Schizosaccharomyces pombe: one gene and its partners. The protein of the gene in region 3 binds, or shares a complex with, the protein of the main gene of each other region. Each region holds a gene or a part of one and is shown on either strand. Other genes may lie near its edges.

Region 1 (7,330 bases), 1.5 Mb from region 3:
CGATTCTAATAATTAGCAAGTAGTAATAGGCATATCATCACACACCCACTTCGTAGATACGACATCTTCATTCAATTGACTGTTCTAAGTACCATAGCCGTTTCTACCTTATTAAGACAGAACTCTCAGACCAGATATATGATAGTGCATTGCATAACGTTATTTGGTTTAATGAAGTTTAACTACGACTTCGTAGATGAAAGGACGGTGCTTCGTAATGAAGATGACAGGAACACAAACAGAGTCAGAGAGAATACATGCAGATAGGAGCTGCGACAGAAGGCGTAGAAGCTGACTTGTCGGTGAATGCTGAGCCCGATGTGAAGCCTATAGCGAAAATGCTGTCAGCTTGTGTAGGAAGTGTAATTACAACGCTGACTGTAACGCCTTTAGATGTTGTGAAAACCCGCTTGCAGAGTGAATCTATTTCTCAATATTCTTCTACGCAACCCATTTCTTCAGCAAAGATATTGGGGAAGGGAAGGCCAGCTCCAAAGCCTTTAGGAGGCCCGGTATCCGGACTTTATCAGATCGCTCGGCATGAAGGTGTTAGAAGCTTGTGGCGTGGATTAGTTCCTTCATTGACAATGCTCTTGCCAGCAAACACTGTACAGTTTCTTGGGTATGAGCAATTACTTCCCTTATACAGTGATTGGGGCTTTCCTGCTGCTGCTGCAATCGCAGGAGCATCTGCGCGCACAATATCTGCTACTATTGTGTCTCCTATAGAATTATTCAGGACTCGAGTGCAAGCAGTAGGCGGCCATTATCCGCCCGGCCATGCGCGCGAGATTGCTAATGAGGTCTTTGATGGATTGAAATTAATGATTCATCAAAAAGGTATACTGAATTTATGGAGCGGTGTCAGCGTAACGTTGTGGAGAGATGTACCATTCAGTGCATTTTACTGGTGGTCGTATGAGAGAATTCGACTCTTCCTGCTTGGGCATCCATCACTTCAAGCATTTTCCAGCTCTCAATCTACAAAGGACCTCTATATCAATTTTGTGAGCGGAGGAATTAGTGGGACTCTAGCAACCCTATTAACTCAACCTTTCGATGTATCAAAAACTGCTAAGCAGGTGCATGGACATACGTTAACCAGAGGTCAGTTTATGTTAACCTTATGGAAGCGAGGTGGTCCCAAGGCCTTGTGGAAAGGCACGTTGCCTAGATGTGTTAAAGTTGCACCGTCCTGTGCAATCATGATTTCAAGTTATCATTTAACTAAAAAGTACTTTTCTGAGTCTGTTGATGCTTATTAATTTAGACGTTGATTTTCAGGTTTTGGTTGGCTTGATGAAACCTTTGTTCTTTTTTTTTCGGTTTAATGTTTTCATCTCTTTTCTTACAGGATTCCATTTATGTTGATAATTCCCCTCTCGCAACTCCATTTCTATTTGTAGTCTATATGTTTACTATAATACAGGATTCAAAAATGCAAATCGAAAGAGTCTTGAAAGTAAAATAGGTTGGGTTAATTTACGAAGCGTAGAAACTAAAAATTAATATTTTTTAATTTCTGATATTAGTCTCTAAAATAAAGCCATAGTAGAACAAGCTTGCTATGTTTTTACCAGACATTGAAGCTAATGCTTTCATTATATACCCATTGTTGTTCTTTTTAAAAGCTTTTTCAATGGTTGAGGATACATATATTTTATTCAATGTTTTTCTTTTCCGTTATTGAAAAGCAGAAACAGCTCGGGCCAAAAAGTTTAGATCTTTGAAGAAAGCGATTTTTAAAGTGGGAGCTTTTGTTATCCGTTTATTTTATATGAATTGACTAGACTAGAATCGTATATAACGAAATTATTTCTAAAATAAATATTGAAAGTGATAAAAAAAAGCCCTTTAACAAGATTTTTTTTAAGATACTAAGACAAAGCAAATTAAATATTTATTAGGTTTCATTCAACTGATCGGTGATATGAACTGTAACAGGGCAATGGTTACTTGTGTTTAAGCTTTTCTTCTTGAATTTACTGAGATAAGCAACAAGTAAGGACTTGCAGGAGACATTCTAAAATATCAATAAACAAATTCTTTATAGCTTCAATTGCGGTATAAATCAAATATTAGTAGCGTCGATCACCAACTTATCTGTCAGCGTACAGTGAGTACACTTTCGATAACACTTTACCTTTTCTATTACTCTTCAAAGACAATGGATAGTCGTTCATTAATAAAATCAAGCAAGAACACTACCCAAAAAGCGATTTACTATTAGAATTGAATTAGGCAGTGGAATGAACAACGCTATACTATTGCATATTCCGCACTTCAGCGCCTTAATGTTTAAACCATTTTACCGCTTTTCATTAAAGCTTGTTAAGTGTTCGCTTAACGCTCAATTTAGTATGAATATAGCAGGTGTCCTCCGCCAAAATTTTCTCTGCAAACCTGGGATGTCATTCCAAACGTTAGAGCGAGAAAGGACGTTTAAAAATCCGCCCAAGGACGGAACGAGCTTTCCAGATTTGCAAAAGGCCGTAAAACCTCATGTTGATTCCTTTAACGCCCTTACTAATGCCGGACTACTCAACTATGCTGTTAAGGAAATTGGTGAGAAATGTGCATTTGACTCGATCACACAAGAAGAAGGTGGTGCATTGAAATTTGGAAATAAGATTTCCTTCCGCGTTGATGAGGTTCAAATTGCGAAGCCAATGTTGTCTAGTCGTGAAAGGTCTTCTATTAACCGCAAAGTCTACCCTGCTGAAGCCAGAGAGCGTTTGACTACTTATAAATCAAGATTGGTTCTTAAATTCTCATGGAGTGTCAATGGAGGCCCTAGACAATCAGAAATGCGTGAAGTAGGCATGATTCCCATCATGGTACGGTCCAACAGATGTCATCTGGAAGGATTGTCTCCTGCCGAACTTATTGCTCATAAAGAGGAGAGCGAAGAGATGGGCGGTTACTTTATCGTTAACGGTATTGAGAAGTTGATTCGTATGTTAATTTTACCTAAGCGCAATCATCCTACTGCCATCATTCGCCCTTCTTTTGCCAATCGTGGTACTAGCTACTCACAGTATGGTTTATCTATTCGTTGTGTCCGTCCAGACCAGTCTAGTTTAACCAACACCCTTCATTATCTTAACAATGGTGTTACGATGTTTCGTTTTCACTGGCGTAAAAACGAATATTTAATTCCTTCGATGATGATTCTTAAGGCCCTGTTAGAAACCAGCGATAAAGAAATTTTTGAGGGCATTGTTGGTAAAGATTTGGGAAATACTTTCTTGACGGATCGTGTTGAGCTTATGCTTAGAGCTTATAAGTCCTATGGTCTTTACTCCCAAACTGAAACACTTCAGTATTTGGGTAGCAAATTTCGTGTTGTTCTCGGCGTTGCTGAAGACCTAACTGATGTTGAAGTTGGCCGCTTTCTCTTACAAAAGGTTGTTTTAGTTCACCTTCGTGAAGCTAAGGATAAATTCCGCCTTCTCCTATTTATGATCCGCAAGTTATATGCACTTGTAGCTGGAGAGTGCTGTGCCGATAACCCTGACTCTCCACAACATCAGGAAATTTTATTAGGTGGTTTTCTTTATGGTCAAATTCTTAAGGAGAAGATTGAGGATTGGCTAAATAGCATCCGCGCTCAAATTAATTTGGATGTTCGACGCTCAGCGCCTGGTGTTGATTTCTCCGATCGTAAATACTTGACCCGTGTCTTTTCTAAAATTAACAATGACATCGGAACGAAATTACAATATTTCTTGAGTACCGGTAACCTTGTTTCCAATACTGGTCTTGATTTACAACAAGCTACAGGTTACACTGTTGTCGCCGAGAAGTTGAACTTCTACCGCTTTCTTTCACATTTTCGAATGGTACACCGTGGTGCATTTTTTGCTGAGCTTAAAACTACTACTGTCCGTAAATTGCTTCCTGAAGCTTGGGGTTTCATGTGTCCAGTTCACACACCCGATGGTTCTCCATGTGGTCTTTTAAACCATTTGGCTAGAAAATGTGAAATTGTCACCCATCCTTCTGATGTAAGTCAAATCCCATCACTTTTGCTATCGTTGGGTGTTGATCCTCCAAGTGTAGTTGGTCATGAATCTGGTTGGGGATGCGTACAATTGGATGGAAAGATTGTTGGTTGGTGTACTTACAAACTTGCTAAGCACGTTGCTGATGTGCTACGTTTAATGAAAATTGAATATGCTGTCAAGTTGCGTAATGGAACTGCCACTGAACCTGCTAAGGTCCCTTTAGATTTGGAAATTGGATATGTGCCTCCGTCTCATAACGGGCAATATCCAGGTCTTTATCTGTTTAGCAATCCTGCAAGGATGGTTCGACCGGTTAAGCACATTTCTACTGGTGAACTTGATATGCTTGGTCCATTTGAGCAAGTTTACATGGATATTGCATGTTTCCCTAAAGAAATCGTTCCTAAAGTTTCTACTCATGTAGAGTATTCGCCCACAAATGTACTCTCCATCGTTGCCAATATGACTCCATTCTCAGACTTTAACCAGTCTCCTCGTAACATGTATCAATGTCAGATGGGTAAACAAACTATGGGTACGCCTGGTACGGCCCTTCGTTATCGTACTGACAACAAACTTTATCGTCTTCAAACAGGACAAACACCAGTTGTTCGTCCTAAGCTTCACAATACCTATGGCCTCGATCATTATCCAAATGGTACAAACGCTGTTGTTGCCGTTATCTCATACACTGGTTACGATATGGAAGATGCTATGATTTTGAATAAATCTGCTCATGAGCGTGGTTTTGGTTATGGTACTGTATATAAGGGTGAATCTTTTGACCTTTCCCAAAAGCGTCGCAGAGGTGAACCAGTCGTTCACCATTTTGGTTTTGCTCCCGGTTCAACGCCTCGTCGCGAATGGTTGCAAAAGTTAGACGCCGACGGGTTACCTTTTATTGGAATTAAACTTGAGGATGGAGATCCCATTGTCGCTTACTATGATGAATCTACTGGTCAAAATTTTATTGAAACCTATCACGGTACTGAGCCTGGTTTTGTTGACGAAGTTAGACTCCTTGGTAATGATGTTGGTGATTCCGAGTGTCAGCAAATTCATGTTAAGCTTCGTATTACCCGTAGTCCGATTATTGGTGACAAATTTTCCTCTAGACATGGACAAAAGGGTATTTGTTCACAAAAGTGGCCCACTGTCGATATGCCGTTTACAGAAAGCGGAATGCAACCTGATATCATTATTAATCCTCATGCGTTCCCCTCTCGTATGACAATTGGTATGTTTATTGAAAGTTTAGCTGGTAAAGCTGGCGCCTGCCATGGCTTGGCTCAAGACAGCACACCCTTTATCTATTCTGAGCAGCAAACTGCTGCTGACTACTTTGGCGAACAATTGGTTAAGGCTGGTTACAACTATCATGGAAACGAGCCTATGTATAGTGGTATCACAGGACAGGAGATGAAGGCTGATATTTATATTGGAGTTGTCTACTATCAACGTCTTCGCCATATGGTTAGTGATAAATTTCAAGTACGTACAACCGGACCCATTCATAATCTTACTCGTCAACCCGTCAAAGGTCGCAAACGTGCTGGTGGTATTCGTTTCGGTGAAATGGAACGTGATGCTGTTATCGGTCATGGCACATCGTTCTTGATGCAGGATCGTTTAATGAATTGTTCTGATTATGCCCAGAGCTGGGTTTGTCGAGATTGTGGGTCTATTATTTCTATCATGTCTACAATTTCGATGAATGGCGTAGGAAGTGCCTCAGAAGTCAGGTGCAGAAGCTGTGCCAAACCCGCTTTGGGATTGGAAGATACCAGTGACATTTGGCAGGATGGTAGCGGAAAGAAATTTGTCGGCGGCACAAATACTACGTTGATCGCATTACCCAGTGTTTTCAATTACTTGACGGCGGAACTTACTGCTATGAATATTAAAATGATGCTTGAAGTTAAATAGATTAAAGTGTTGAAAAGAGTATTGAAATTAATATATTCGCTTTCAACTTCTTTAAAAAAAATTTTTTTAAAAGGACTGACAAAATGCCATGGGTGATGTGTGTATTTTCAGTTCCATTTGATTCTGTTTTCTTTCGCAACAGGTTTCTGATTTTTGCTTCGGATTACGTTTTGCATATAAAATTACTTATTGTTTTGGGGGAAGAGTTAATAAAAAAACTTATATAGAAAACTATAAAGGTAGGTCTAGGTGGACTAATAATAAATTGATTGATTTTTATCTTTTTGATTAAGAAGCGGCTAAGACATAATTGACAAGAAAAAGTTTATTATTAGATGTCTTTTTGCTTTAAATTGTATTATATATTGGTTAATAGATACTTGATACCAAAGAGTGATCGAATGTTCAAAGAAGCAGATTAATCAGAGGTTGAGATCTGATGCAAATTCGTGAGCACACATTCGTATGGAGAAAAGAGAATTGATATCTTATAATTTTAAGAACAGCTCAACTACAGAAAATCTATGCACTCAATTATAAAAAATACCTATTCGCATGGTTCACATTTAAGAGCAGCATAATGACGAATTACAGAAACCCACGCTAAATTGTATTTTGTGCTTCATTATACTATATTAGATAACCGATATTTAGTATAGTGTGTAAGCTACGCAGTTTGGTATCTGATTTAAGGATACGTAGAACTGCGGTGAGTTTTCCTTGTGATCTATTATATTACAATACACAGGTTGTATGAGTAGCAACTGAGTATAGGTATTGTATTAACTGGGTTATAATGTTACCTATCACTAATATAGCTCATAACTGAACTGAGGAACGAGGTTCGGCTGTAACGCTATTTCGGCAACCGATATTAATAGACTTCATATAACAATAAATATACATTGTTAGTTAACATACTGCATACCGCTATATTGTAAGTCGTAAGAGAAACTCACCGTAATTCTATGTATCGTTAAATATATACCAAACTGCGTAGCTGACTATAGCAAAAAACTCAAAAAATCACTAAATGAATTTGTTTATTAGGAGCATAATAATTATCTTTTCAACTATTGTGGATTTCTTGTACAATTGTTTTTTTTTGTGCTATGAGCCCAATCTTTCATATGAATGCTTATTTTTGAAAACCTAGTTTACTTGACGCGTCTATTAAAAGCTTGAAAATTAGCGACATTCTCGTTGCATGAATGCTTAAAGAATGCACACTTTTCTAAATGAAAGTCTTATTTTTAATTAATTAAACCAACTAAATAAAATAGGAAAGAGTGATGGGTATTTTTAAGAAAAGCCGTTGGCGACCTATTTCATGATCTCAACGATGCGTCTTGTCCAAGTGCCAACGACAACTTTTGCCTGAGAATCTTATCACGTAG
Region 2 (3,217 bases), on a different chromosome or scaffold from region 3:
TGATGAATACTGTGTTATACCCTTTTATTTTCCTTTTAAATTCAAAGAAAGCAATGAACAACTCACTAATCATCTAAGCAACGAAAGAGAAAAAAGAATAGAAAAAAACGTCTATTAACAAGTTAACCAAAAACACTAAAATACTACGTATAGCAATTTCAATCTTCTCGCTATGTCCTACAGACAACCAACTCATGGTTACGTATAACTATACTAAAGCAGTGGTACTCCATCCTTATGCAACAATTCTACAAATGGAAATTTTACAAGACACAGATTTTAACGTACTTTTAAAGTATCTTACCTTTATTTAGATACGCTTAAAATCTCTAACCTTTTTTATCATCCTTTTTCTTTACCAAACTGGTTTACTTGTTTCTTTCCTTGGCAAAAACCGAGCTACGCAATGATCGGCAAAGTAAATATCCATTTTCACCGACAAGATATGGTACTCACTAAGTAATTTCCATTATGTAGCAACAATAACTCTTCCTATACATTTTTGTTGCCTACAATCCCATAGACTATGTCACGTTGCACTCTTCCAAAAAGGACTACCCCAGAAAGAGAGAGAGATATGAGGAAAAAAATTTTTGCTTCTAAATAACTAGAGCAAACAAGTCCCACTGTTGTCAATCGTCGGGTACAGCACAATAATCTCACTAGTAAAAACATGCCATATTCATCTCTGTTTTACCAAAATAGAAAATCAACCTTACATTGCATAATATAGGAATACGGAAGCGAGCCCTATACAGATGGACTGGGTTATGGCGGTTATAGACAAAGGCGCTTTCAAAACCATAATGGATTTGAAACGCTCAAGTAGTGGAAAACACATAATAGTAAGTATAATGCCAAATCCTTTGTAGAAAATACACAGACCTTTTTATTGAAATCGTGAATATGATTCTTTTTTTTTTGGTGATCTCTTTTCTTATTAATGCTATATCTTTTGAATTTATTTGTTTTTTCTTTTATTTAGTAGTATTTTTTTTGCATTTTGTTATTTATCTGTTCGCTTTTCTGTTGTACATGTAATAGTTGCAACGTACAGACAAATTAAATTTTTATTATTCTTATATTTTTTATTATTTCCAAGCTTATCACATAAATTACGATTAAAATACCTAAAGTGCAAAATATGATTTCCAAATTGATGATTCAATCAAGCAAAATAATTTTCTTTTGAGATAAGGAAGAATTTGTTAAATAATCAAAAGCACAATTTATAAGGTACAACGATTTTGAAAGTCGCTAGTATATATGTACACAAATCTTGTTCTGTATTCCGTGACAGGCTTTGTATTTGAACAAAGTATTGCCCAGCTAGACAAAAATCGTTTGGGCAACAAAATTTTAAAGTAGCAAGAAATAGCTTCAAACAATTAGTTGATGCTTGAAAAAATACAAAGAAATTTTTCTTACCGAATTTTTTCCAGAAACAACGATACAATACTTATATAGGTGAAATTTCCCGAGAAAGCTTTTTAAATTCCCCAACTTGGAATTCCAAGGTTGATTTATCAATAAGTAATTTCTTTACAAAAACGAATGATTTTTAAATGTCTGTAATTTATGCCTTTAGCATAATGTTCATCAATAGATCAGGAAATTCGTTTACTCATCTCTAGCTTATTGTTTACTAATTAAGGCACTATACTGATCATAGTCGCTCACAGTGTGTATTGGCTTTTACGATAATGATACACTCGCTTTTCCATCACTTACCGCAAAATAATGAGTTACAGCGAAAGAAAATTGCACTTGTCAAAGACAAACTAGCTTGTCATAAACACCAGTGCCTTCCCCATCAAGCAAGGAGGAATCCCAATGTCGGCAATAGGGTCTTTGATATTTTGCTCAGAATGCGGTAACTTGTTGGAATCGACTACTGCCCAATGGACTACTTGTGATCAGTGTCAATCCGTTTATCCTTCTGAGCAATTTGCCAATTTGGTAGTGGAAACGAAGAGTAGTGCAAGTGCTTTTCCTTCTGCTTTAAAACTCAAGCACAGTATCGTTCAAGTAGAATCTCAGAAGGAGGAGGCAGCAACGGTATGTAACTTATTTTTGTCTATTCTTTTCGAATCCTTTTTTTCATGTTGGTTGTCATTCTTCTTTCCTTTTAGGCTTTGTATCATTTGGAAAACTTTTTTTTTTTTAAGAATGCATTAGGAGAGTCTAATCAAGGAACTTTTTTGTATCATATATCCAGTGAATTGAAAAATCGGCACAGTCAGGCAAAGGACTTTATCATAGTCCTTTTTTGGGTTTATTGCCATACTAACAAAGTTTTGTAGATTGAGGAAAAATGTCCAAAATGTGGAAACGACCATATGACTTTCCATACTTTGCAATTGAGGTCTGCTGATGAAGGTTCTACGGTGTTTTACGAATGTCCTCGATGTGCTTATAAATTTAGTACAAACAATTAGATTGAGTTTTCATCTGTTAATCATTCTTTTGGTTGTGATTTTCTCAATATTTCACTGTTTCTTACGCCGTTCTTCATGTATGTATGCTGACTGATTTGTATGAAGACTATTGTTTTTAATATCTTCGATTGTCCTTCTGCTTCCGTTATTTTCATGCTCGATAAATTTTATTTGTCTAGTAATACGGCAACGTTCATGAAATAGAAAGAGATGCTCTTGATATCCGATTTTCTTGTTTTGTCTTCTATTTTATCCAGGTGTTAAAAAAAATAACAGTTCTTCTGTTCTTGTTGGTTCTATTTTTCGGGGTTACTTTTTGTTTAAAAAATAATATGGTATAACTTATTCCTTTATTCATTATTGTCTTTCCTGGTTCAAACTAAATAGAGAAAATTCATTGTCTATCACGATTGAACCTGTGGATACTTCCTTTCTCAGAATTTTTAAAGAGTTTGAGTTTCAATGTTTATCAGCATTTTATGAATAGTAGTATATCGGTTATTTATTTCTTTTTCTCTAATATGGAAATGAATGTGTAACGAAATGGAGCGTACTATGTACCGTAACACTCAAGAGCCCAAATGGGCAGGTAGGTGTTCAACCATTTGAAATATATTCTCACCTGCCTTTTCACATATGGCGTCTGTTAAATCCTTTAAACGAAAATATTTAAAACTTCGAAAGTCATTTGATTCGGTAGTCCTTGAAACAGAGGAAATTGAACAAAAGATTGCTGAAATATCAGAAGTTTATCGCAGAATTTTATTAGAAAATGCGTA
Region 3 (4,487 bases):
GAGATCCACCTTCAGGGAATAGAGCAATGCATGCACCCTTCACCAGACGTCTACGGACTTCATTATAAACATATGTTTGATCAATCTCAGGAGCCACCTTGTAAGACGACCCTTCGGGAGAAAGCAAAACTCTCTCAGCATCTTCTCCACGAAACTCACGTTTAACATATAATAAGGTATCACTTTTAATGGATGCTATATGAGAACTTCCATAATTATTAGGAAGAAGGAGAGTATCACCGACTGAATGCTTTGTAAACAGAGTATCTTTTCCGTGAATAGCAGTCTTATCACCTTCAGCTACGACAAATATCTTTCCTTCTCCGCGAATAGCTAAATCTTGCGCCCTTTCGACAGGAATTGCACCAAAAGCTCTCGACATGAGGCCAATAAATCTTTGACGATAACTTTTAGCAGCAACCAAAATGGAAGTCCTCCTACCTACTTCTCTACGAAGTTGTAACATCAAAATCAAAGGATCTACGAATTGGTTCGCATGCGGCGCGGCCACTAAAATTAGAGGTCCCTTGCGAGGAACTCTAAAAGAGCCTCGCGTTTTAACTTCACGGAAAAAGAAATCGATTAAAACTGGGGTTCATTAATTAGCGTTCCGGTTGTAACTAAATGATAAGTAACTTACTTGATAAAATCCATAAGCACGTATCATAAATAAAGGTATGTTGCATTATAATTGAGTGAACGAACCCGTCTTCAGGGTTTCAAGTAAGATTAAACGATACTAGTAAAATAATCGTGAGTGTTTGGGAGGGGCCTCCTGGGTAATTCTAATAAGGTCTACGTAAAAAAGTAGGTCTCACTATATAGTACGCTGAAGTTGTATAAGGCAACGCGTTGTTTCATTAGATAGTTATAAGTCACTAAGATATACATGTTAATATCAATCGACATAAATCAGTATTAGTAGAAACATTAAAGATGTGATGTGAAAGAAATAGTATATTAGGATTCACAGAGTATTGATTTGAAAGATTGAGTTTAGTAATTGATCTCGCCATGATCTTTGTTAAATTGTTATTTAACAATTATTTGTGACAACAATTTCGACAATAAAGCCTATATTAAAAAAAAAATCAATTAAACTATGGGATAAACAAGAATTTAATGATGAATTTAAAATCTTTAAGCATAATCTGATACTTGCAACTGAGAATGAATGGATAAGGACTTACAAAATATGCAAACTCAAGTACTGCGAGTAAAAAAGTTGCATTGTAGTTGTCCTCAAACACATGATCAAAAAAAACCTTAGGATTTTTTCTCTCACGTTTAAAAGATTTAATAAATAATCGCAGCCAAAAAACCCAATTTTTTTAATGAAGCGCAAACTATATTCGAAAGCTCATATGATGTTTTAGAAATCGAACAAAATAACTGAACCACAAATAATCAACACACCTTTAAATTTACTCTAACTCTGTTCTTTTTCCCCTACACCTTGAGTCGTATCCGCTTTGGCCTTACGAGCCTCTTCCTTTTCCCGTCTCGCAGCCTTCTTTTTTTCCTTTTTTAGACGCTTTTTGGTTTCTTTATCCAAATGCAAATCATCGTTCTCTTCCCTTGCATGTTTCAGACTTTCCTCTTCCTTGGTTTCCAACATTTCTTCAGGTGGTATTATTAATTCCTCTGTGGGAGGGCCTTGGACAGGTAAATTTAAAGAAATAAGCGGTATCTCTTCTCCTTTCAGGTACATCAAGACTCTATTTAACTGGGATAGAACACTCTCACTTCCAGATTTTTCATCTTGGAAGCGCTCAATCGTTTGGATGTAGCGATTGAGAAATTTACTAGACGCGTCTTTGTCTAGCTTTTCAGACTTTCGCAAAATCATTTTAGGTGGACATTCTGTCGCCATGTTTAAAACGAAAATTCTCCTGAATAATGCAAAGTTCTCACGAACACAGCAATAATGTAACTTCAGTATCAAATGGAAAAGTTCAAGTCTAATGTGTAACGTTCTATACTTTTTTTTTTTGACATCAAATCACCACACTATTCACACATAATGCAATTCAAGAAGTGCTTAAATTAGCTACGCAATTTCGTATTCGTTTAGCGCTGCGTAGAACTGCGATAAAATTTACTTGTGATCTAGTTTATAGTGGTATGCATGATTCTTGTATGAAGTCTATATTCATATCTCATGTTCGTATAAGCTCATAACTGAACCTCATTCCTCATTTCAATTACCGCCTATTTATAATGTCGTAAGCATAGTTATCTACGACAAGAAAATGAGTTTGTATGAATATTGTCTCATATCTAACGGATGATAACAGAACATGTTATTTATGGTAATAATGTAGTATAGCTAATAATAAATATATTATGTAAGTTTAAATTAATAGTTTGAGCAAATAGATGCAATACTGATCCATCTCAAATTGTTTGAAGATAGGATAAGTCGTATAAGTTTAAATCCTCAGAGGTTTCATGGTGTCTGTCTCTTTAGTGTTTGAAGTCTTAGAAACCTTTTTTGGTCTTTCTATTACTTCCATTCTTTCGGGCCGTAGAAAAGATCGCATATTTACACGTTGATTCTCTTGACGATAATTTTGAAAATTCAGATGAGATATCCATCGCGACGGTGTAAAATACTTCTCACGAAGATATGACACCATTTCAGGGCTTTTATTCGTAAAATATATCCATTTTCGTTTTTTTTCCTTATAGATTATGTTTTCGTTAACTAATCTTTCTTCAATTCTTTTGGCATCAGCATAGCTGCAATCTTAGATAATGTTAGTATATGGTCAATGAGTTGGTAAATTTCCTTACTCAGTCGCGCCGCTAGCTTTTGGAACCCTTGATACTCTGACGCCCAAATACACCGAATTGCTCGTCTGTATGCGACCAACATGGTCATTCGGTCATACAAACTAGATTCAGAATCAACTAACAAACATGTATAACATAACAATTGGTTTGGTTGGCGAGGATCAGAGTCACTCTCAAATCCATAGCAAGCACAGTGAACCCATCCATCACATCTTTCGCATTGAAACTGTGTAAAATATTGTTAGTCTTTAGCAGGTATAAACGATTACACACCATTTCTGAGTCTTCCGTCGAATCACCGCATTCACAATTCAAAAGTGCTTTTTTCTTTTCGGCTTTGTCAACTTTGTCACTCCCTGAAATGTTTTTTTTTAACCAATTGCTTTTCTTTACTTCTTCACAAGGATTGTTATTTTTTATTTCCCTTAATCCACGACTTTCATTCTGCATTTTCTCACATTTTCCTTGACTCAAACTTTTTTCAACTGATTGTTCATCCAATATTTGAGTTGAGCCTATTTCATCGTATTTCAAAGGCTGGAGGAACTTTTCGAGCTGAGAATCAATTTTTTCTTGAGAATCAAATAATGATGATTCTTTATTAATCATGATCTTCTCTGTACTTATCGGTACAAATGCATGAGAACAATGTGAAATCGCAATACTATAGATTAGTAACTTGAAATTTGTTTTAATTTACTTACCCATTGTTTGATTCATAAAAAGATACAATATCTTTGAATTCTCCTCGATTGAGCCAAGACATGCAATCTTTTGTTTCTACGGTATTTAAAAACACGCCAGCTTTAGTTGCTTCTCCTTTTGATAATTGAAAGCGTTCCATTTTTGTAATAATTTGTACGACTTTTTCTTCGTCTTTGCACTCTGTTTTTACGTTACCACTTAAAAATAACTTTATTACAAACCTTTCTGAACGTTGATAAGCTTGATAAAACTCTCATGAAGTCTGTTAAAAAATTTACAAACAAAAGACTCACAACATATTTTCTCTTCACTTCCAGGGTTAATTGTAAATGAAAATATCTCCTTTTCAACCGCGTCATCCTCTAATATTGACTTGCATTGTGACGAAATAATCAGGTAAACAGTAAATGGAACTTTCATTGATACAAGTGAGAAAATATAAGTTTTCTAAAATATTAGTTTATTTCTTTAGATAAGTTTTAAACACTCACCATCATTTCCAAAAAACTGTCTGCTTCTTTGTCCACTCCAGCTTGTAAAGAAACCACAGTAGGTTTCAATTGACAATCAAAGTCAGCTCCTTTAAAATGTTCAATTTCGAAATTGACTTTCTTGTAGCAGTTTTCATTGAAAAGAGCACTTGCCTTCTGTTAGCTATTTTAATTTAAAAATTATATGTCTGCGTACCGCTTATAGCATAATGTTGATATCGCGAAGAAAATTAAATTTTTAAGAGTAAAGTCAGACTTAGTTTGCAGAATTTCCTCTTTGTATGAATTCATTTGTCATTTATACTTAGAAGTAAAGGGTATTTGATAAGTTGATATCTATATATGGTAATTTTGTGAACGCGTCGAACGCGTCTTAAGTGTACGTATATTACAGTCCCACCTGTGGTTTTCCAACACTTTAAACTACACTAAAATGGCTTACATAGATAAATGGAATGCGAAAAGCATGTTTTACGATGAAGACATTTGGTAGCT
Region 4 (5,152 bases), on a different chromosome or scaffold from region 3:
CGTACAAAATGCTTCGATTCGGTGTATGCTGCCCTTCAATGCGGATATCGACACATCGATTCGGCTCAGATGTATCACAACGAGGCTGACTGTGGAAGAGCCATCCTTAAGTTCATGGAAGAGACTGGTACGAAACGAGAGGATATTTGGTTCACTAGCAAGCTTAATGATTTAAGTGGGTACAAATCTACTTTGAGCAGTATTGATGCCAGTGTTAAGGCATGTGGCCTTGGCTATATTGATCTGTTTCTTCTTCACTCTCCCTATGGTGATCGTATTGAATCATGGAAGGCGTTGGAGAAAGGTGTTGAAGAGGGAAAACTTCGTGCTATCGGCGTTTCCAACTTTGGTCCTCATCACATCCAGGAATTGTTGGACAGCCATCCAAAGATTATACCATGTGTCAATCAAATCGAACTTCACCCTTTTTGCTCCCAACAAAAAGTCGTCGATTACTGTGAATCCAAGGGTATCCAACTTGCTGCCTACGCTCCTCTTGTTCATGGTGAAAAGTTTGGCAACAAGCAACTTCTCGCCATTGCTAGCAAGTATAACAAGTCTGAGGCTCAAATCATGATTAGATACTGTCTACAGCGTGGATTCATTGTACTTCCCAAGAGTTCTACTCCCAGGAGGATCAAAGAGAATGGCGACGTTTTCGATTTCGAAATATCTAAAGAGGATATGGAGAAGCTCTACAACTTGGATGAGGATTATCATTCGGATTGGAACCCATGCGTTTCCCCTTTATAATATGTTAAATGATCGTCTTGTAAGAGCAGAGAATGCATTTTATTATTTATTTCCTCTGCTATCCCTAGATATGCTAGTATGATAGAATTTACGAAACTCAATTTATGTCAGCTTATATACCAAACATGCATCCAATGACTGTTAGTATGAATTAGTATGAATCCGATATTACTTTTATCATATACGATCATAGATTAGAAAATTCGTATTACTTCCATTGATTTGTAAATGCTAGCATAATGTATCGTAAACTTATTAGAAACCTAAAGTACCTCATGGAAATGGCTCATTTTGGGTAGAAATATATTCAGACTCTTTACTATGTAGCTAATTAAAAGCAAATTCTACCCTAACTTTGGTTTTATCAATTCACACACTTCTCCAAGTACTTTTCGCTTCGTATATGCGACGTATGCGCACTTCACTCATCCACAACACCACACAATAAGACTCCATTAATTGCTTTCCTGTGAGCTCAAGGTACTAAAAACATGCTATTCTTAAAATCCAGCAGAGCATTTTCCAAACGACTGTTTTCTTCATCGACTGTTCGTTATAGAGATATTCAACGTTTGACATTGACTGGCAATTTAACAAAAGACGTTGAGCGTTTGCAGTCTCAAAAAGGAAACGAATATATGCGTTATACTGTAGCTTCCAATAATGGAAAAGACGTAGCCCCTACCTTTCACTCGGTTTATGTTTTCGATAGTTACAATTTCGACAGACTTCAAACTATTTTAAGGAAGGGAACGCGTGTTTATGTGGAGGCCGATGCTGTTTGGCGTTCCGTCCCAGCTGGAAATGAAGGATCTCAAGCGAAAATGAGCCTGCGACATGGTACGCAACATTGCAATGGTCCAAGTTGAAGCCTGAAGCAAAATTTGAAAACAGAATATAGTATTTACTAACCTCTCTTATTAGTATCTGCAGACGTTTTATTTTATCCTCGTAACAAAAATGGCGATGAATCCGGAGAAGAGACTCATCCTGAATTAGACGCAGATCCTATGATTAACAGCTTCTAAAATTCGTGTTTCTAGTTTAAAAATTTTCTGCACTTTAGACCGTTAATATATTTGGGTGGTATTTTTCTAGGGATTATTGAGTTTAAAAAGTCTCCTAATTCATTTTCTCTGCATTATGCACATACTTGGTATTGCTATGTATTTTTCATTTGATGTTTATTTCATTATTCCGCTGGAAATAATCTACCCATGGCTCTTCTGATTTGTTTTTATAGACAATAATGTCTCTGCTGTAATGTTTTCATTGCGTTCTAGGAATTACTTAGTCACCTTTACTCCTTCTTTTTCAAAGTGACAAATTTGTTAGTCCTTTACAGTAAATTAATAATCATTTTTTTTTATTTTAAAGTGTACTCTACGATTTGTAATATTCAGTTTCTTTAATTCTTTTCATTTAATGACTGATCCTCAAACTTCGTTAAGTTAGATTTCGCAGCCTCTGTGACTGTACACTACACTTCGTCAAACAAGCAAAGCTCTTTAAGCGCTAGCATTTTTACCAACAGCATCCACTATTGGAATGGCAGGTGACGAGTTAAAGGGCAAGAAGCGGAAATATAGAGATTCCCATTCCGGTGATGAAAAATCCGTTAAGATATTGCCTTTGAGTGAATCGAGTTTACCACCACTTGTCACGACAATTTCCGGATTTTATCCACCCGAAAATACCCGGTTCCAGCTTCTCAAAAAGAGCAATCAGAGCAACAGAGATGCGTCGTTAATTGGAAGGACAGAGCGTGTTCAATTTGAGGCTAAAAATCAATCAACGGCTACGGTTGAGGCAAATTACTGTTTAGCTGTTGCTGATAAAACTGGTCGTGTAAAAAAGATTGTTCCAGCAAAGTATCTTAATACTTTTGAAAGAAATATTTTGGCACTTCAGGAGAAGGACAAATTTTTGAAAAAGAAGCATGGAACTGTAAGCGGTACTGTTATGGAACAGCGTGCCAACTTGGGTTTGGCATTTGGTACAAGAAAAAGTCAAAAAGCTATTATGGAAGAGTCCGCCAATCGTGTCAAAGCTGAAACTTTGGGAGATGTCAAGGATCAATTGGTTAGTAATGTTCAAAAAGCTACTGAAGCACTTCCAACGCAAGAAGATATCGCTGCTGCTCAAGCGCAAGATCGCCCTATTCCTCCTGTCAATGTCGGTGCTGAATCCATTGAAGATGCATACAAATTGGAGGACATTATTCCCAAAGAAGAGTTTTCAGCTATTTACATTAAGCCTCTGTTAGAAAACCCTGACGAGCGCAATTGGGCCAAATTATTGCCGTACCGTCACTCCTTGTTTATTAATGAACGCTTCCAGCGATTACTTTCCATTGAGGAGGTTGACCAGAAGCGGGCGAGAATTTTGTATTACATTTCTCTTTTGCAAGCTTTTTTGTTTTCTCGTCGTTCTGTGGGCAACCGTGAAACTTTACGTAAAAAATTGGCTGATCCACCAGAGATTCTTATTGATGGGTTGATTAAACGTTTTACTCAAACCACCGGTATTGGTAGCGTCCAAGTATCATCTCGAGAAGTTGATAAAATCATATGTTATATTCTGGTATTGTGCTTAATCGTTGATAATTACTCAACTGATGTTCTTACCTTGGCAAATGACTTGAATGTCAAGACCATGAAGGCTAATGAGCTTTTTAGAACGGTGGGTTGTCGAATTATGGCTTACACCGAAACTCAAAGAATGGCTTTAGGTCTTAACAAAACTGATGCTAAAAATCATAAGCGTGCAGTATTAAAAATTCCCCTAGAGTTCCCTAAACCTCGACGTGGACGCGCTAGAAATTAGAGAAAAGTACAGCGTTGTTTATTTTCAAAAAAATGTGTGTGTGTTTTTTTAAAAAAAAAGAAGGACGGTATATATAGAAGAAACAACTACTGAAGTTCGTGATGTTCGATATCTCCACTGCTTATAATTGTTTTGGACGTCAAAGCGACATTGAGATATCCAAATAAAGTACCAACAAATTTTCAGAAACTTCTTATGGGAATACGGGATTAAAGGTGTTTTTTTATTATAGTGGAAGTACAGAAAATAATAAAATTTTGCATTGTATAATACTTTTGCTATAAGGCAAAGAAGGGTGACTTAGATGGTAACTAACTTTCAAGCAAAAAAGTTACCGTTTTACTCAATAAATCCTTTGGAAAGTTATAACATTGTTGTTTGACTATAGGGTAACAAATGACAATCGAAACTTAGATTCATGTTCAAAACCACCGTATTTATGATGTGCTAGGGGATGGTCTTTTGTATACAGTAATTGCTACAATCACCTGAGCATTAAATGAATTGGCAATAATATCAAGTTAGTATTAATTTTGAAATGGATTAATTATGTGGCCGTAAGTGTTTATGGTAATATGAAACAACACAAAGAAAGGAAATAAAAGGAGCGTGCAAATCCAATGATCATTTGAAACCATGATACAGTTGGTTTTAATCTTTTTCAGTATAACTTGCCCATAAAGCCACCAACTCGTTTCTCGTAACTGGCTCTGCCAAAATTAAACCGTCTCGTACAACCTGTTTAGCCTCTTCTATGCGATGCATTGCCTCCAAAGCCTTTGCTTTCCTATAATAACACTTTCCATAATTATTTCGAATTTTCAAAGCAGCATTTGCATCTGCTAAAGCTTCGGGGAATTGGGAAAGGGCAATCTCAGCAGCCGCCCGATTACACAACATAACACTTGCTTCTTCACGCGTAAGAATCGACGGTTCCCAAGTACAGCGATTCAAAGCGAGTTGTAATGCTAATCCATATAACTTTTTTGCCTCCTCATACTTTTTGCGTTTAAATGCCTCGTTTGCAGTTTGCTTCATCTTATTAACTTGGGTAGACAAGGCCATATTTGGCTTAGCAGGAGGATAGGGAGGTGGAATAAAAAAAGGATATTTAAACGTAGCTAATGACTTGGCGTATTCATTAACCTTTTTGCCCAACTCCAATTCCTTCCCACTCCATTTTGACACATCAACTTGAGGTGCAACCACCGATTCTTGTTTAGCAACCATCGAAGCAAAGTTTTAAAAGAAGAAGTAGTGAAGCTGCTCTTAATGTAAAGCACAAAGCTCGGATGGATTATTATGTACAAATAATTTAGAGAAGACAAGCAATGTTCAATGCAAGTAGTAAACTTGAAAGTGTTAGCAGAACGTGTCACAATACTTTAACACACATAAATACTAACTACGCAGTTTGTTATTTAATTTTAACGATGTGTAGAACTGCAATGAGCTTTATGATCTATTATATTGCAATATTGCAAAAAGCAGGTAATACAAGTAGCAACCGAGGACATATATAATATTTTATGTACGATCTATTGTTACCTATCATTAATATAGCTTTAACTAA

The links.
Region 1: ker1 (region 3) and rpa2 share a complex: the UniProt entries of both Schizosaccharomyces pombe proteins name them as parts of the RNA polymerase I (Pol I) complex.
Region 2: ker1 (region 3) and rpa12 share a complex: the UniProt entries of both Schizosaccharomyces pombe proteins name them as parts of the RNA polymerase I (Pol I) complex.
Region 4: ker1 (region 3) and rpa49 share a complex: the UniProt entries of both Schizosaccharomyces pombe proteins name them as parts of the RNA polymerase I (Pol I) complex.

What each region holds. Positions count from the first base shown.
Region 1 is NC_003423.3:2,005,711-2,013,040, forward strand, and holds rpa2 (DNA-directed RNA polymerase I complex subunit Rpa2), read left to right. Parts: upstream 1-2,375; 5' UTR 2,376-2,408; coding exon 2,409-5,933; 3' UTR 5,934-6,245; downstream 6,246-7,330. Other genes in the region: SPOM_SPBP23A10.17 (uncharacterized protein), read right to left, coding at 1-5, 46-71; mtm1 (Mn(2+) ion transporter), read left to right, coding at 258-1,265. UniProt on the Schizosaccharomyces pombe protein: DNA-dependent RNA polymerase catalyzes the transcription of DNA into RNA using the four ribonucleoside triphosphates as substrates. Second largest core component of RNA polymerase I which synthesizes ribosomal RNA precursors.
Region 2 is NC_003421.2:1,038,300-1,041,516, forward strand, and holds rpa12 (DNA-directed RNA polymerase complex I TFIIS subunit Rpa12), read left to right. Parts: upstream 1-1,800; 5' UTR 1,801-1,833; coding exon 1,834-2,058; exon of another isoform or gene 2,059-2,303; coding exon 2,304-2,438; 3' UTR 2,439-2,717; downstream 2,718-3,217. Other genes in the region: Ino80 complex subunit Iec3, read left to right, coding at 3,075-3,214. UniProt on the Schizosaccharomyces pombe protein: DNA-dependent RNA polymerase catalyzes the transcription of DNA into RNA using the four ribonucleoside triphosphates as substrates. Component of RNA polymerase I which synthesizes ribosomal RNA precursors. Required for growth at higher temperatures.
Region 3 is NC_003423.3:3,472,115-3,476,601, reverse strand, and holds ker1 (DNA-directed RNA polymerase I complex subunit Ker1), read right to left. Parts: upstream 1,958-4,487; 5' UTR 1,874-1,957; coding exon 1,430-1,873; 3' UTR 943-1,429; downstream 1-942. Other genes in the region: sct1 (glycerol-3-phosphate O-acyltransferase), read right to left, coding at 1-588, 641-686; synaptonemal complex-associated protein hop1, read right to left, coding at 2,433-2,749, 2,797-3,022, 3,070-3,460, 3,501-3,741, 3,780-3,948, 3,993-4,140, 4,189-4,283. UniProt on the Schizosaccharomyces pombe protein: DNA-dependent RNA polymerase catalyzes the transcription of DNA into RNA using the four ribonucleoside triphosphates as substrates. Component of RNA polymerase I which synthesizes ribosomal RNA precursors.
Region 4 is NC_003424.3:3,924,410-3,929,561, reverse strand, and holds rpa49 (DNA-directed RNA polymerase I complex subunit Rpa49), read left to right. Parts: upstream 1-2,282; 5' UTR 2,283-2,301; coding exon 2,302-3,579; 3' UTR 3,580-4,029; downstream 4,030-5,152. Other genes in the region: SPOM_SPAC2F3.05C (xylose and arabinose reductase), read left to right, coding at 1-753; single-strand DNA-binding protein Rim1, read left to right, coding at 1,245-1,593, 1,678-1,781; sec67 (translocation subcomplex subunit Sec72), read right to left, coding at 4,231-4,809. UniProt on the Schizosaccharomyces pombe protein: DNA-dependent RNA polymerase catalyzes the transcription of DNA into RNA using the four ribonucleoside triphosphates as substrates. Component of RNA polymerase I which synthesizes ribosomal RNA precursors.